2 linked regions of the Oryza sativa Japonica Group genome follow. The protein of the gene in region 1 binds, or shares a complex with, the protein of each later gene. Links are inferred from orthologs where the notes say so. Each region holds a gene or a part of one and is shown on either strand. Other genes may lie near its edges.

Evidence for each region. Proteins that work in one complex are often made in the same cells at the same time.
Region 2: the proteins of F-actin-capping protein subunit alpha (region 1) and probable F-actin-capping protein subunit beta are in contact, whole or in part, in a crystal structure (PDB 4AKR), measured with the Dictyostelium discoideum proteins. The link is inferred for Oryza sativa Japonica Group from reciprocal best matches to the Arabidopsis thaliana genes CPA and CPB. Residues at the interface, in XP_645243.1 of Dictyostelium discoideum: Leu7, Ile10, Phe14, Asn17, Pro19, Glu22, Glu25, Val26, Asp29, Val30, Ala32, Leu33, Leu34, Tyr125, Asn127, Glu128, Tyr129, Tyr130, Pro131, Thr154, Cys155, Ile156, Tyr157, Tyr163, Ser164, Gly165, Arg166, Trp167, Val190, Asn191; in XP_647630.1 of Dictyostelium discoideum: Lys4, Gln5, Cys8, Cys9, Asp11, Leu12, Met13, Arg14, Arg15, Leu16, Pro17, Pro18, Gln20, Asn24, Gly27, Leu28, Asp30, Leu31, Val32, Ile103, Phe104, Ile106, Tyr107, Leu110, Tyr111, Phe112, Glu113, Lys136, Thr137, Gln138.

What each region holds. Positions count from the first base shown.
Region 1 is NC_089041.1:13,229,520-13,235,523, forward strand, and holds F-actin-capping protein subunit alpha, read right to left. Parts: upstream 4,081-6,004; 5' UTR 3,844-4,080; coding exon 3,759-3,843; intron 3,664-3,758; coding exon 3,548-3,663; intron 3,220-3,547; coding exon 3,130-3,219; intron 2,384-3,129; coding exon 2,319-2,383; intron 2,224-2,318; coding exon 2,062-2,223; intron 1,624-2,061; coding exon 1,545-1,623; intron 1,456-1,544; coding exon 1,378-1,455; intron 643-1,377; coding exon 568-642; intron 488-567; coding exon 452-487; intron 331-451; coding exon 223-330; 3' UTR 2-222; downstream 1-1. UniProt on the Arabidopsis thaliana protein: F-actin-capping proteins bind in a Ca(2+)-independent manner to the fast growing ends of actin filaments (barbed end) thereby blocking the exchange of subunits at these ends.
Region 2 is NC_089037.1:15,464,496-15,470,317, reverse strand, and holds probable F-actin-capping protein subunit beta, read right to left. Parts: upstream 3,420-5,822; 5' UTR 3,361-3,419; coding exon 3,232-3,360; intron 2,848-3,231; coding exon 2,777-2,847; intron 2,404-2,776; coding exon 2,290-2,403; intron 2,135-2,289; coding exon 2,052-2,134; intron 1,966-2,051; coding exon 1,904-1,965; intron 1,800-1,903; coding exon 1,680-1,799; intron 897-1,679; coding exon 801-896; intron 682-800; coding exon 598-681; 3' UTR 238-597; downstream 1-237. UniProt on the Arabidopsis thaliana protein: F-actin-capping proteins bind in a Ca(2+)-independent manner to the fast growing ends of actin filaments (barbed end) thereby blocking the exchange of subunits at these ends.

The DNA.
Region 1 (6,004 bases):
GTTGACACAGTCAACATTCAGATATCATATATTCTTGAAATGTAACTTCCTCACAAGAAGTGCATGTTCTTGATTTACACTGATATGTGGAAGCCCAGAAATCAAAACAAGAGAATTGCTGGCTACAGGATATGAATTGCAGGATCTACAGAACAACACATAGCATGGAGATAAAAAAAAATCCATATCAAAGCTAATCTAATGAACTGACCTCCACAAGCTTCATTTTCCTATAGCCAGTTCTTTGGTGAGGTCTCTTGTAAGGCTGAGGGCTAATGTGTTGTGCCATGGGAAAAGAGTACGAGTAACGGGAAGTTTCCTTCGAAGATCCTGTGCACATATATAACCAGTAAACACAACTGAGCAGAGGATAGGTAAAAGTAGCAACAAAATTTACTAGCATTATAACTATCATGCAAATTCTTAAATTGTTACTGCCTCCTTGGTGTACCTTGAAGGTTGCATCAGACAAATTCATGTATGATTCCTGTTCACAAGTGAAAAGAATGGCATTACTCATTATGTTAACATATAAGCTTGAATAAACAAATAGGGACAGGTTTCAACCTCAAGTGATGACAAATATTCTGACTCATGATGCCGAATGATGTTAGTTATTGATACTGCACATTCCTCAGGAGACTGAAACACGAGTAATAGCACATGAAAAGAACAGTTAAGGGTTTCGCATTTTTCAGCCTGGTGAAGATTAAAAACAAGCAAAAACAAAGCAAGCAAAATGATGCAAGCATAATGCAGCTCTAAACAAAACATTACGCTTAACATACACAAATGCTCCGGACAAGCACATGCAAAAACTCCAGAACCAAAAAGGAAATGAAATAGGGGCAAAATTTACCCGTGCAATTTTTATATTAAAAAATCTACTCAATCATAAGTTGATCCTTTCAGTTCACCCCAGGAAATAAAAAGGATAAATAAAATTTCAACTTTGTTTGTTTTAACAGTTTGCATCAATAGAATATCGACAACAACTCAAAGTATCAGGCACCAACCCAACACAATTAAGCATAGTGCAGATATAAATTTTTTAAGGTTCTATGAAAATCTATCAGTAACATAAACTGTACTTCATCCATGAATGCAGAGCACATACTTATGCATGCGCAACTAAGTTTACAGGGTATACATGTATATATAATTCTCTAAAACTCAGTAGCAAATCATACCAAAGCAGGAGAAAATTTTCTCCAAAATATATTGAACAGTAGAATGAACTTAGCACGTAAACCTAAAGCAGCAAAACAACAAACGATGAAATAGTGTGTGGATTACTGCACGAGGTCAAAAGAAGCAGATGCCATCAATCGTTCATAACATGCCAGGATAAAAAAAATAGGTATTGTATGAACTAACCTGCAATATGGTGGAATCCTTGCAATCGATGTTAGTATCCAGCTGCACATTTCCCTCTTCAAAATAATGAGCACCTACCTGGTATATGCACATGTATCTTAGTTACCAACTTCAATTACAATAACAATAATTAACCATGTTTTAGCGCTAGCTAAGTAAAAGCAAACCTGTATTTTCCCTTTAATTTCGACAAGCTGTAATCCATCTATGAATTCCAGAGTCCAAATTGAGCGCCAATTGCCGTTGCTGGATGACTCAATACAAAGTTGTCTCCATCAGTGAATAAATAATGAAATGTCAAACTATGACGAGAGGACTTAAGCGACTCTAGTAACAGATTATGTGAAGCAAGGATTCAGCCAAAGCACAATTCTAAACTTTTCTGCATAAAAACTAAAGACACCATAATATTGTGGGAAGATGATAAAGAGGGTACCCACAAAACACATGATTAGTTCAAAGGGAAAATAAAGAATTAAACACTCACAGATGTGCAAACCTATGATCCAGAAGTTGAATATGAAATAGCTTCTCATAGGAATGCCAAAATTTTCTAGAAACCTCAATAAGGATCTAAAATGTATAGAAGAGATACACAAAATGGACATATAAACAAGTTCAAGATTAGAGAAAACTAGGCAAGTATCTGTAACAACAGAGAAAATGCAGACTCAGACAACATACCAAAAGTTTTGTGGGCTGCGTTTAGCAGCAGAAATAACTGCTGCAAAACGAAAATCAACTCCTGGTCCCTCTATATCTTTTCCGCTGGTACAATAAACAGCACACACCCCTTTTGGATAAGCTTCACCAACATATTTGGATAATTCAACATCCAGGGCACTCCTGCACCCATAACAAAAGGTGCAGAACATAAATTGACTAGCAAGGCAATGTGGAGTTCAAGAAATTTGGGGAAAAGAATAGCATAATTATGGTACCTGAAATCTTCAATGTATGCTGAAGGAAGCTCCTCATCAGCAGCTGGCCTCAATTTTGTACATTTCTTTTAACATGTAAAACAAAAAACATGGTGACTTAAATTAAAGCAGACACATCATGTTTCAAATGAACAAAGAAAACTATAGACATTTCAAAAACAAATACTTAACCAAACATCTCAATCTAACCCGGTGTTAGAGAATGAAAGCCATTGTCTAGAGGTAACACAAGTTAATACAAAATGGATTGGGCAGAAACCTGTAATACTAGTTACTGAAGCTTAATACAGCTGCTGCTGGATGTACTATTTGAGGTATAATGAAAAGCTCTTTTACCTACATCTATGCTATTCCATTGAAAATAGGTAACTTAATCTATGTCCAGAAAATTCATAATTATGGTCATAATTTATTCCTCAGTTAACACTGTAAATAAAAAAAGTAGAAACTTGTGGGATCAAACTTTTACATGCAGAGTTCAGTTACAATACTAATCTATGTGGACTATATTCAATGTAACATGTTCTTCAAGAAAGATAGTTCAGTATCAATATCCTGTGATTGGATCCATTTCTCAATTAATATTCATCAAATGAATAAGAATAGTCAAACCATCAAGCTCAAGATACTGTGCATATTAAATTACAGACGTGAAACTGCTTCATATAGTTCATAGACCATAAGTTAAGATGACCATCCATTGTTTAGTAGTTATATATGTTCTCTTACTTTAAAAGATTCTATGTTAAATATGCATAGCTGGCTTAAGAACTAAATCCAGGATAAGCAGATGTAAAGTCTGCAGCATTACCTGTTTAATATGGTCCACTGTAGCAACTTGAGCAGTCCTAGGATCCAGATAATTGTTCTTGTCAAGCTCCCCATAAGTTGTGATAATTATCTGCGCGCGAGGACACATTGTTTTAATGTCTGGCCAGCAAGCACCCACCCTCGAGTGTTAAGGCATCATCCTATAGTCTCATGCTCATAAACATACCAATGAGAAACACCAATAGCTTACTGAATTTAATAAAAGTAAAGTAACAAACACAATAGCCACAAGTGATTTATTAATCACTACCTAAAAGCCAGATTTGCTAAGTCTTAACCGCTGATTTACGAGCTACAACAAGCACAACCCTACAGTAGATAGAACACACTCAATTTCGAGCACGTGAGAACACGCGACGGCAAAAGTCGGCAAGGAGAGGAGATGGCCCAGTGCTCACATCACCGCTGCGGTCAGGGAGCTCGAGGGCCACGAGGTGCGCCTTGTTGTGCTCCGGGAAGGCCTCCGCCGCGGCGGCCTCGTACACCGCCTCGTCCCCCAGCAGCGCTCGCACATCTGCGCGCCCACGCCGAAGAGGAATCAAACAACGAAACACACGGGGCTGTACAGCTTGGATTGCGAGGGTCAGGAAGAGGGGTTGGGGGGATTGCCTTTGGCGACGTAGTGGATCTCGCCGGCGGGGGCGTTGGAGAGGAACCAGACGGCGATCTCCCTCTTCTCCTCACCGTCCGACATTTGGGCGGCCGTGGAGGCTGTGGTGGGTGGGGGGCGGCGATGTCGGGTGCGCGGAGAGGGCAGGAGGGGAGAAGCGAGGGGGCAGTGCGTGCCGCTCTTCGGCCGCACTGGCGAGCTGGCAGTGCTCCTACGACCTAGAGGCAGTGCGGGCGAGCCGGCCGCCGGCGAGGCACCGGCCGCGGTGGGGACGAGCGGTGGGCGGTGCTCCGACGTCCAGATCTGGACGAGAAGAATAGCGGGAAGAGAGCGAGAGGGACGCGAGAGATTGAGAGGTCTCTGCCTCACTGATCGATCTAGTGGTGGACGATGATCGCCGTACCGATCGGACGGACGAGATGGTAGCTTTGGAGTTGATTAACGAAAAGCTCCATATTGATGGCGGATTAATGGGAATGGAAGAACAGATAACGTTAAATTAAAGGCTAAACTGACGTGATGTAAAGCAACCTGTCATATTTTGACCTTTGAATGTGCTTTTACATGCGGTTGAGATTAATGGATTGGAGTTGGAGGACTACTTTGTTGCAGTTTTGCAGGCTTTTTCTGTAAGAAAAGGACGGTGTGTTCGCTGGTTCTGCTTGAGCCTGGAAAACGGGGCAATAACCGTGTTTAGTTCACACCAAAATTGGTAGTTTGGTTGAAATTGGAACCATATGACATAAAAGTTAGAAGTTTATGTGTGTAGGAAAGTTTTAATGTGATGAAAAAGTTGGAACTTTGAAGAATTATTTTGGAACTAAACATGGCCTAACGTGTGATTTATTAAGTATTAGCTAATTTTTTTTAAAAAAAGATTAATTTATTTTTTAAGCTACTTTCGTATAGAAACTTTTTTTTAAAAAAATGCACCGTTTAACAGTTTGAAAAACATGCGCGCGGAAAACGAGAGAAAGGGGTTGGGAAAAGGGGCATTGTTTGAAGGGTTAATTAGATCCATGCCATTAAAATTTTAGCAGTTTTGAAATATAACATTACTATTTGTCTATATTTGTAACGATACCACTGCTACTTGTTTGAAATCTTAGTGGTGTCACTGAGATACGTATTTTGCATGTATTGAATGAAAATGCTCTCATCTTCTACCTCTCTCTCTTCCCCATTTTCTACCCCTCAACTCTTTCCCCTCGCTGCGCCGCTCATTCCATCCCCACCACTCCTAATGCTGCTCGCGATGCCGCCGCTCACCGTCGCTACAGCTCATTGCTGCCGCCGTGGCCCTACTACTGCAGCCACTCGACAATGGCGAGAGAAGATTAGCAAGCGTGCTTAATTAGGGCTTGTTGGGTGGAGTCAGGTACTCAGGTTCACCTTGAGCTTCTGGATTGTGGGCACATCGGTCTTGAATGATTTGGCGAGCACGGCTTCGTCGATGCCAGTGCCGAACACAGTGACCGGCACTGCCACGAGCCCCGCGGCGACGCTGCCGAACGCCGAGAGCGCCATGGCCAACTGGTTCCGCTGTTGCTGCTACCACCGCTCGTCGCCGCGCCGCCGCGTCGATGTTGCTACTGCTACTGCCACCACTCGTCGCCGTGCCGCCTTTTGTTGCAGCTGCTGCCGCCGCGGCCGCCACTGCTGCTGTGCCACGCCGCTGCTGCTGCCGCCGCTCGTCGCCGCACCACCGCATCGATGCTGCTACTGCTGCTGCTGTCGTCGCCGCGCCGCATCTGCTGCTGCTGCCGCCAACGCGCCGCTGAGAAGGAAGAGAGGAGGAAGGAGAAAGGGGAAGAAAGAAGAAGGGAAAAGGGGCAGTTTGGTCTATTTTTTTTCTGGAAATGCATCCAAGAGGTAAGTAGTGGTATCTTTTGAATATGTGTGAAATTACAATGGCATATTTTCAAATACATGAATACTAGTGGTATATTTTAAAACCAGCAAATTTTTAATGGCATGTATCCAATTAACCCTTGTTTGAATCGGGTCAAGGTGTCAAAGTGACTTGGCTAGCAAGGGCCAAGTCGTTCCAAAGGAATTGGAGAAAAAAAAAGATCAACAATGTATGCACACTTCAACCCATAGAAAATTTTCAAGAGGTTTGAGTGGATGAAAACCTTCCTATAGTTTTTCTGTACAACTTGTAGGAAAGGAATTTTTCTTTTGGTTTTTCTATGTCAACATTTTTATGAACCGAACAGCATTTATAGGAATTAATCTTTAGAAA
Region 2 (5,822 bases), on another chromosome or scaffold:
CTATCCAGCCATTCTGTGTTTCATACTTTTACTCATAGCGGTTTGGTGGCATGTTCCATTTGCCTTGTACTTTGGAACTTGCATAATTGTTCGTGACTGTAAAAATAAACTGAAGTATCCAGCTTGCTCAATCCATATTGTTACTGCCTGATCTACATGTTATACAACTAATCATGGAGATCACTGACAATTTGTTTTCTAGGGAATTCAAAAATCTCAAAACTATTGATGATCATGTAAGCAGATAACCATATTCTTGCATTGATTTAACAAATTGTAAGGTCACAAGAAGATGTAGATCTTCACAAAGATGACAGAATATTGCTCTCAGGGGCAGTGACAACGAGTTCGGCAAATGCAAACTCCTGCTCCCTTTTGCTTAAACTCTCTGTTACAGCTGCCATGAAGAAGCTTTGCCCAGTTTCCTCACAATTCAATGGAGAAGACACTCCTATGATGGCTCAAAGTGGTGTCCATTTTAGAGACTGCTACTATTAAATACAGATCAATTACGAAAAGAGACTCTAGGTCGCTAAGGAGATGATTGCAAGACTAATATATAGTTCTTGTGTTAAAAATTCACATCTCTGCGTTTTCTCAGCTGTCAGGTAGCCTCCTGTTTAATACTTCGGGTGGTGGCCGAAGCGTGCAAACCATCTCTCTGGTCTTCCCAAAATAAACCTGCCATCATAGAGATACAAAGCATTAAGAAAAATACATCTACGCAATTAATCTCACACTAAAGAAACAACTTAAATGTGAAACTGTTCTTTCTTTGACGTGTGATGTGAAACTGTTACCTGGTCCAACGAATTTCTGAGCTTGCCCTCCATTTCTTCTATCATTTTTCCCATATTAACCAGGTGCCCATCTGCCACAGCAAGAGTCATACTCATCTGAAAAGAGAACAGGTGGTTCAGGATTAGGTTGCTTGGATTTTCCACAGCTTAGCAGAGTCTCCTAATAAAAAGAAGTGTCTTAAGAACGAATTTTTTTATTATGTTACTGATTCAATGATTGTGCCACAAGAAATCTGCAAATTGATAAGTTATGTCTTTATAAGTGTTGCTTGTCTTTCAAAAAATAAGTGTTGCTTGTCTTTCTAGGCTTTCTAAGTTTGCAATTAACTTGTAAGTTTAATTCTCCAGAACACTTTTGAAGAATTCATCTATTTCTTACTCCTTGCGTAGGTGATCCCAAAATGTGAGCCAATCAAACATTTTTATGTTTGATCACCATTGCACGGAAAGGTGTTTACACTTCAGTTTGGCCCCATAAAATTAAATTGTTATCGCTAGCTTTATTGTCAAGTACTCATTCATAATATGTATCTTCTGTATCTAAAAAAAAAAGTATCTTCTGTGATTTTTGATATTATGATAGAAATTTGTGGCCGAATTGTAGCCTTGTGACCATGCAAGGGTCTAAAATTGTGAGAGCAAAGTTGCTTTACATCCAGAACGACATGTCTTAAGACTACTGATACACTATAGAGGTACATGTGTAAAGCTATATTGATGGTTCAAATTGTTTTATTTATGCACAAAGTCTGGGTTCTACAAAGTACTGAGGTAGTAATACACATCAATAACTGTGGAAAACAGGGATGAAAGATGCCCTTGAACTAAGGGCAACTTAATATGACAAAAAGGCGGATAAGACAGGAAGGGAGATGTTACCTGCCGCCTGATTGATCCCGACAAGTTGAAAGTTCCAGATTGCTTGTTATCTGTTGTCAATGATAGCATCACAGTGCTGTTCAAGCAGTAATGCGCTGCTCCTTCTTCTTCAGGACCAACCTGTTAAAGTTACATAAATTTTCAATGAGTACTACAAAACAACATAGCCAGAAACTACCAGTAAAATAATCAGCGACTGCATGAACAGTTTTGTCTTAAGCCACCTGAATGACATGAATAGCATCCCATGAACCAATCTGCATGTGCCCTCTTTTTCCTTCTCCATCTGCAGCCACATAACAGGAATACTAGTTAAAGAATTTCAGATTATCTGGTCAAATAAACGAGATCTCATCGAGTGTTCCTACAGACCTTTCTTTATTAAGAAGCATGCAATAAAACTCTCATCTTCATCCTCCCAAATATACACAGAAGAGATGCCACCTTCGTAATACCTATTTGTCAATAGGAAATTGTACTACTTACTTTACATGCACATAGCAGATATAATCACCTGTATGCTAAATTGAGAAATAACGCAAGTGCAAGCAATAACATTATTCCATGCTGGTGCTTAGCATTACTGAATCAAAGAGAGTATGAATCTTACTGGTCACGGTAGACAGAGAAAACATCATTTGCCTCAACTTCAAGATTCCTCATCTCTTCGGAGGGAACTGTTCCATCTTCCAAAGGAGGATCGTATTTGTTTGACCAAGGAGACCTGCAAGCCATCCCCACAATCAACAAATCGGGAGCTACAATACAGACTGCCCAACAGTTAACATCCCCCCCCCCCCCAACTTAAGTGTCCGTGGTGATGAGAATCATAATTAAATGAAAGCGTTTGCAGGTCTTTGCATTGGTTTTCTCGATTGATGCATTTGCTTGTTAGTCAATTTGTAGAGCGAGTACAGGTATAGCTGCAACTATCACTAAGCTGCATTCCTGAACAATTGATTATCCTGTGTGCCTGCCTCCGCGTTCTTTGATACTGCTTGAAGCTTTCGGTATTCATAAGGTGGATGCTTTTCGCAACACTCACAAAGAAGAGATAACTATAACAGAAACCGTGAGCGTATCGACGGATCGCTGACCTGTAGGAGTCAGCGTCACGGTTGTACTCGCATAGGATGTATTCCTTCACGCTCTCCTTGTCCATGCAAACCTGCAATTCTTGCACCATTTCTATTAGGAAAAGAACGTGGCAGCGCAAAGAGGAAAGAGAGAGACGCACACAAAATGAGACGAAAGGCATCCATAGCTACAAAATTTGCGATCGGGTCGCGCGGATTCTGGTTCGAGCACCTAAAGGGTACATTGGAGCAGAGCGATTCAATTCAATTCGGCTGGACCGGCTCTCCACACAAAGGCAAAGAAACGCCCGTTTCTTGTAGAAACACACCGGGCCATTCTCGCGAGCAATGATTAAGACACCTACTTCCATCTCTCTATCTGTGAATCTTTTCGAGTAACAAGAAGAACATCCCATAACCAAGAAACTGGAGGTAGGTAGTTGTGACGCGATGCGATAAGAGGAAGATATAGGCACCTGGAGCGGGAGGTCGACCTGGGAGAGGAGGTCGAGGGAGTGGTCGGGGATGAGGGAGAGCAGCGCGTTCAGCGCCGTCTCCGCCCTCCCCGGCGGCATCCGCCGCATCAGATCCATCGCCGCCTCCATGTCCGCCCTCCTCCTTCCTCTGTCTGATATCTCCCCCCTTTCTGGCTTTTCGGCTGCGTGCCGGCCCTGCCGCTGTTGCTCTCCTCTTTGTGGTTACTCTCCTCCTGTCGCTTTTCTCCTCTTTTCTTTTTTTTCTTCTTCTTTTATTTAAACTCTGTTATGTTGTTCTGAATTTTTGTGTGTGTGTGTTAGAGAGCAGTGTGCCAGTGATTGCTCCTGATCCTTCACGATCTAAATTTTCTGTAGACATGCATCCAAACTTTCATGTAAAGAGAGAGCTTATCTAGACTTAAAAGAAAAGGGAGAGAATAAAGGATATTTTTTTTAGAAAACTGTAAATTTAGTAAATTTAGTGACTACAACATTAGCTAACTAGTATTTCAAATTGTTGTGATTGCACACAAAATTATCACGAAACTGCAACTTCGAGATCACCCTAACATTGGAATACACTTACTTTCGCTTAGTCCCATCTCTATCGTTGCTAATGTTGCTGACACATTGGGCTCACATGTCATGACGGAAGTTCCTGACGTAGGCGAAACAACGAGACATGTCAGTAATATATGAATCAAAAAGAATCAAATCTCATGGCCGGTTTAGTAGGTAAAAATTTTTGTTTTGGGGAGTCACATCGGATATACAGATACACATTTAAAGTATTAAACGTTGTCTAATAATAAAACAAATTACAGATTCTGCCTGGAAACCACGAGACGAATTTATTAAGCCTAATTAATCCGTCATTAGTAAATGTTTACTGTAGCACTACATTGTCAAATCATGACGCAATTAGGCTTAAAAGATTCGTCTCGTGATTTCTATGCAAACTGTGCAATTACGGAGTAGTTTTTTCTTTTGTCTACATTTAATGCTCCATGCATGTGTCCGAACATTCAATGTGATATTTTTAGGAAAAAAAATTTTGGGAACTAAACCAGGCCTCAGAGGGAGTACGAGAGTGACAATTGCCACTGTGATAGCTGTGTTGGGAGTCATTTCAGGTATTGCATACCACACTAAGGGCCTGTTTAGATTCCACCCTAAAATTTTACACCCTATCACATCGAACACTCAAACATCTGCATGAAGTATTAAATATAGGCTAAAAAAATAACTAATTGCACAGATTGCGACTAATTTGCAAGACGAATATTTTAAGTATAATTGCTCCACGATTTGACAATGTGGTGTTACAGTAAACATCTACTAATGACAGATTAAATATGCTTAATAAATTCGTCTCGCGGTTTACTGGTGGATTCTATAATTAGTTTTTTTATTAGTGCCCAAACACCCCATGCGACACCCTATATAATATCCAATGTGACACGCCAAAACTTTACATTCCTATCTAAACACCCCCTAAACTCAACGTGGGCAACAAAGCCTTGTGTATCGTTGGCCTATTTTTCATTGCTTGGTAATACTTCGTTGTATTTTTCACTTGCTTATCTTAGGCAGGAGAAAAGAAAAAAAAATCAAGACCCAATAGAGCATATGTACTAGCATTTCAGAAGACGGTATGGGGTAAGTAGTAGCACGAGCCAACCACCACATGACACTGAATTTAGCAAGAGTAAATAAATGGTCGCCATCTTGCAGCTAGTAATCACTGTACAAGCAACGGCATGGAGAGCTAAGTACTTTTTGCCCCTTAACAATCGAACATTGCTTAGATGCAACTGCAAGTATCCATCATAACTGCATTACGTTAGCGACCATGTTACCGAAACATTCTGTCCCTCCAGGGGAAATATAATATGAACTAGACAAACCGATATTCATCTGATTCATATTAGGGCCCCTTTGAATCAAAGGATTTATGTAGGAATTTTATATGATTCAAATCTTATAGGAAATTTTCATATTTGGCCCTTTGATTCAAAGGATTGAAGCTTTCCAAATCCTATGAAATTCCTATGGAATGGCACATTGCATGTGGATTTTGGAGGAAATTTAGCAAGAGCTCCAACCTCTTGAAAAATTTCCTTTGAGTCCATCTCTCTCATCCGATTCCTGCGTTTTCCTGTACTCCAATCAAACGACCATTCCTGTGTTTTTCCTGTGTTTTGCAATCCTCTGTTTTACACTTCAATTCCTGTCAAGATCCTGTGTTTTTCCTATTCATCTGTTTTTTTTACCCTGCGATTCAAAGGGGCTCTTAGCATTAAAGTGGAGGGAAAATTGAATGTTGATACTCCCTCCACCCAAAATATAACAAAGAAAGAATTAAAATCTGAACACACCCACTACGCAGATTCATAGTACTAGTATGCATCTAATTCAATTCTAGATTGCTATAATTTGAAACGGAGGTAGCACAATTCTGCTACAGATGTATGTAAGGAACTAAGGATCTGATATGTGTTGTTCTACATGACTTGGAAGTATTTTACAACATACTCAAAATGCAATGCACAACATGGCCTTCCCTAGCATTATGTCCTGTACCCAGAAGG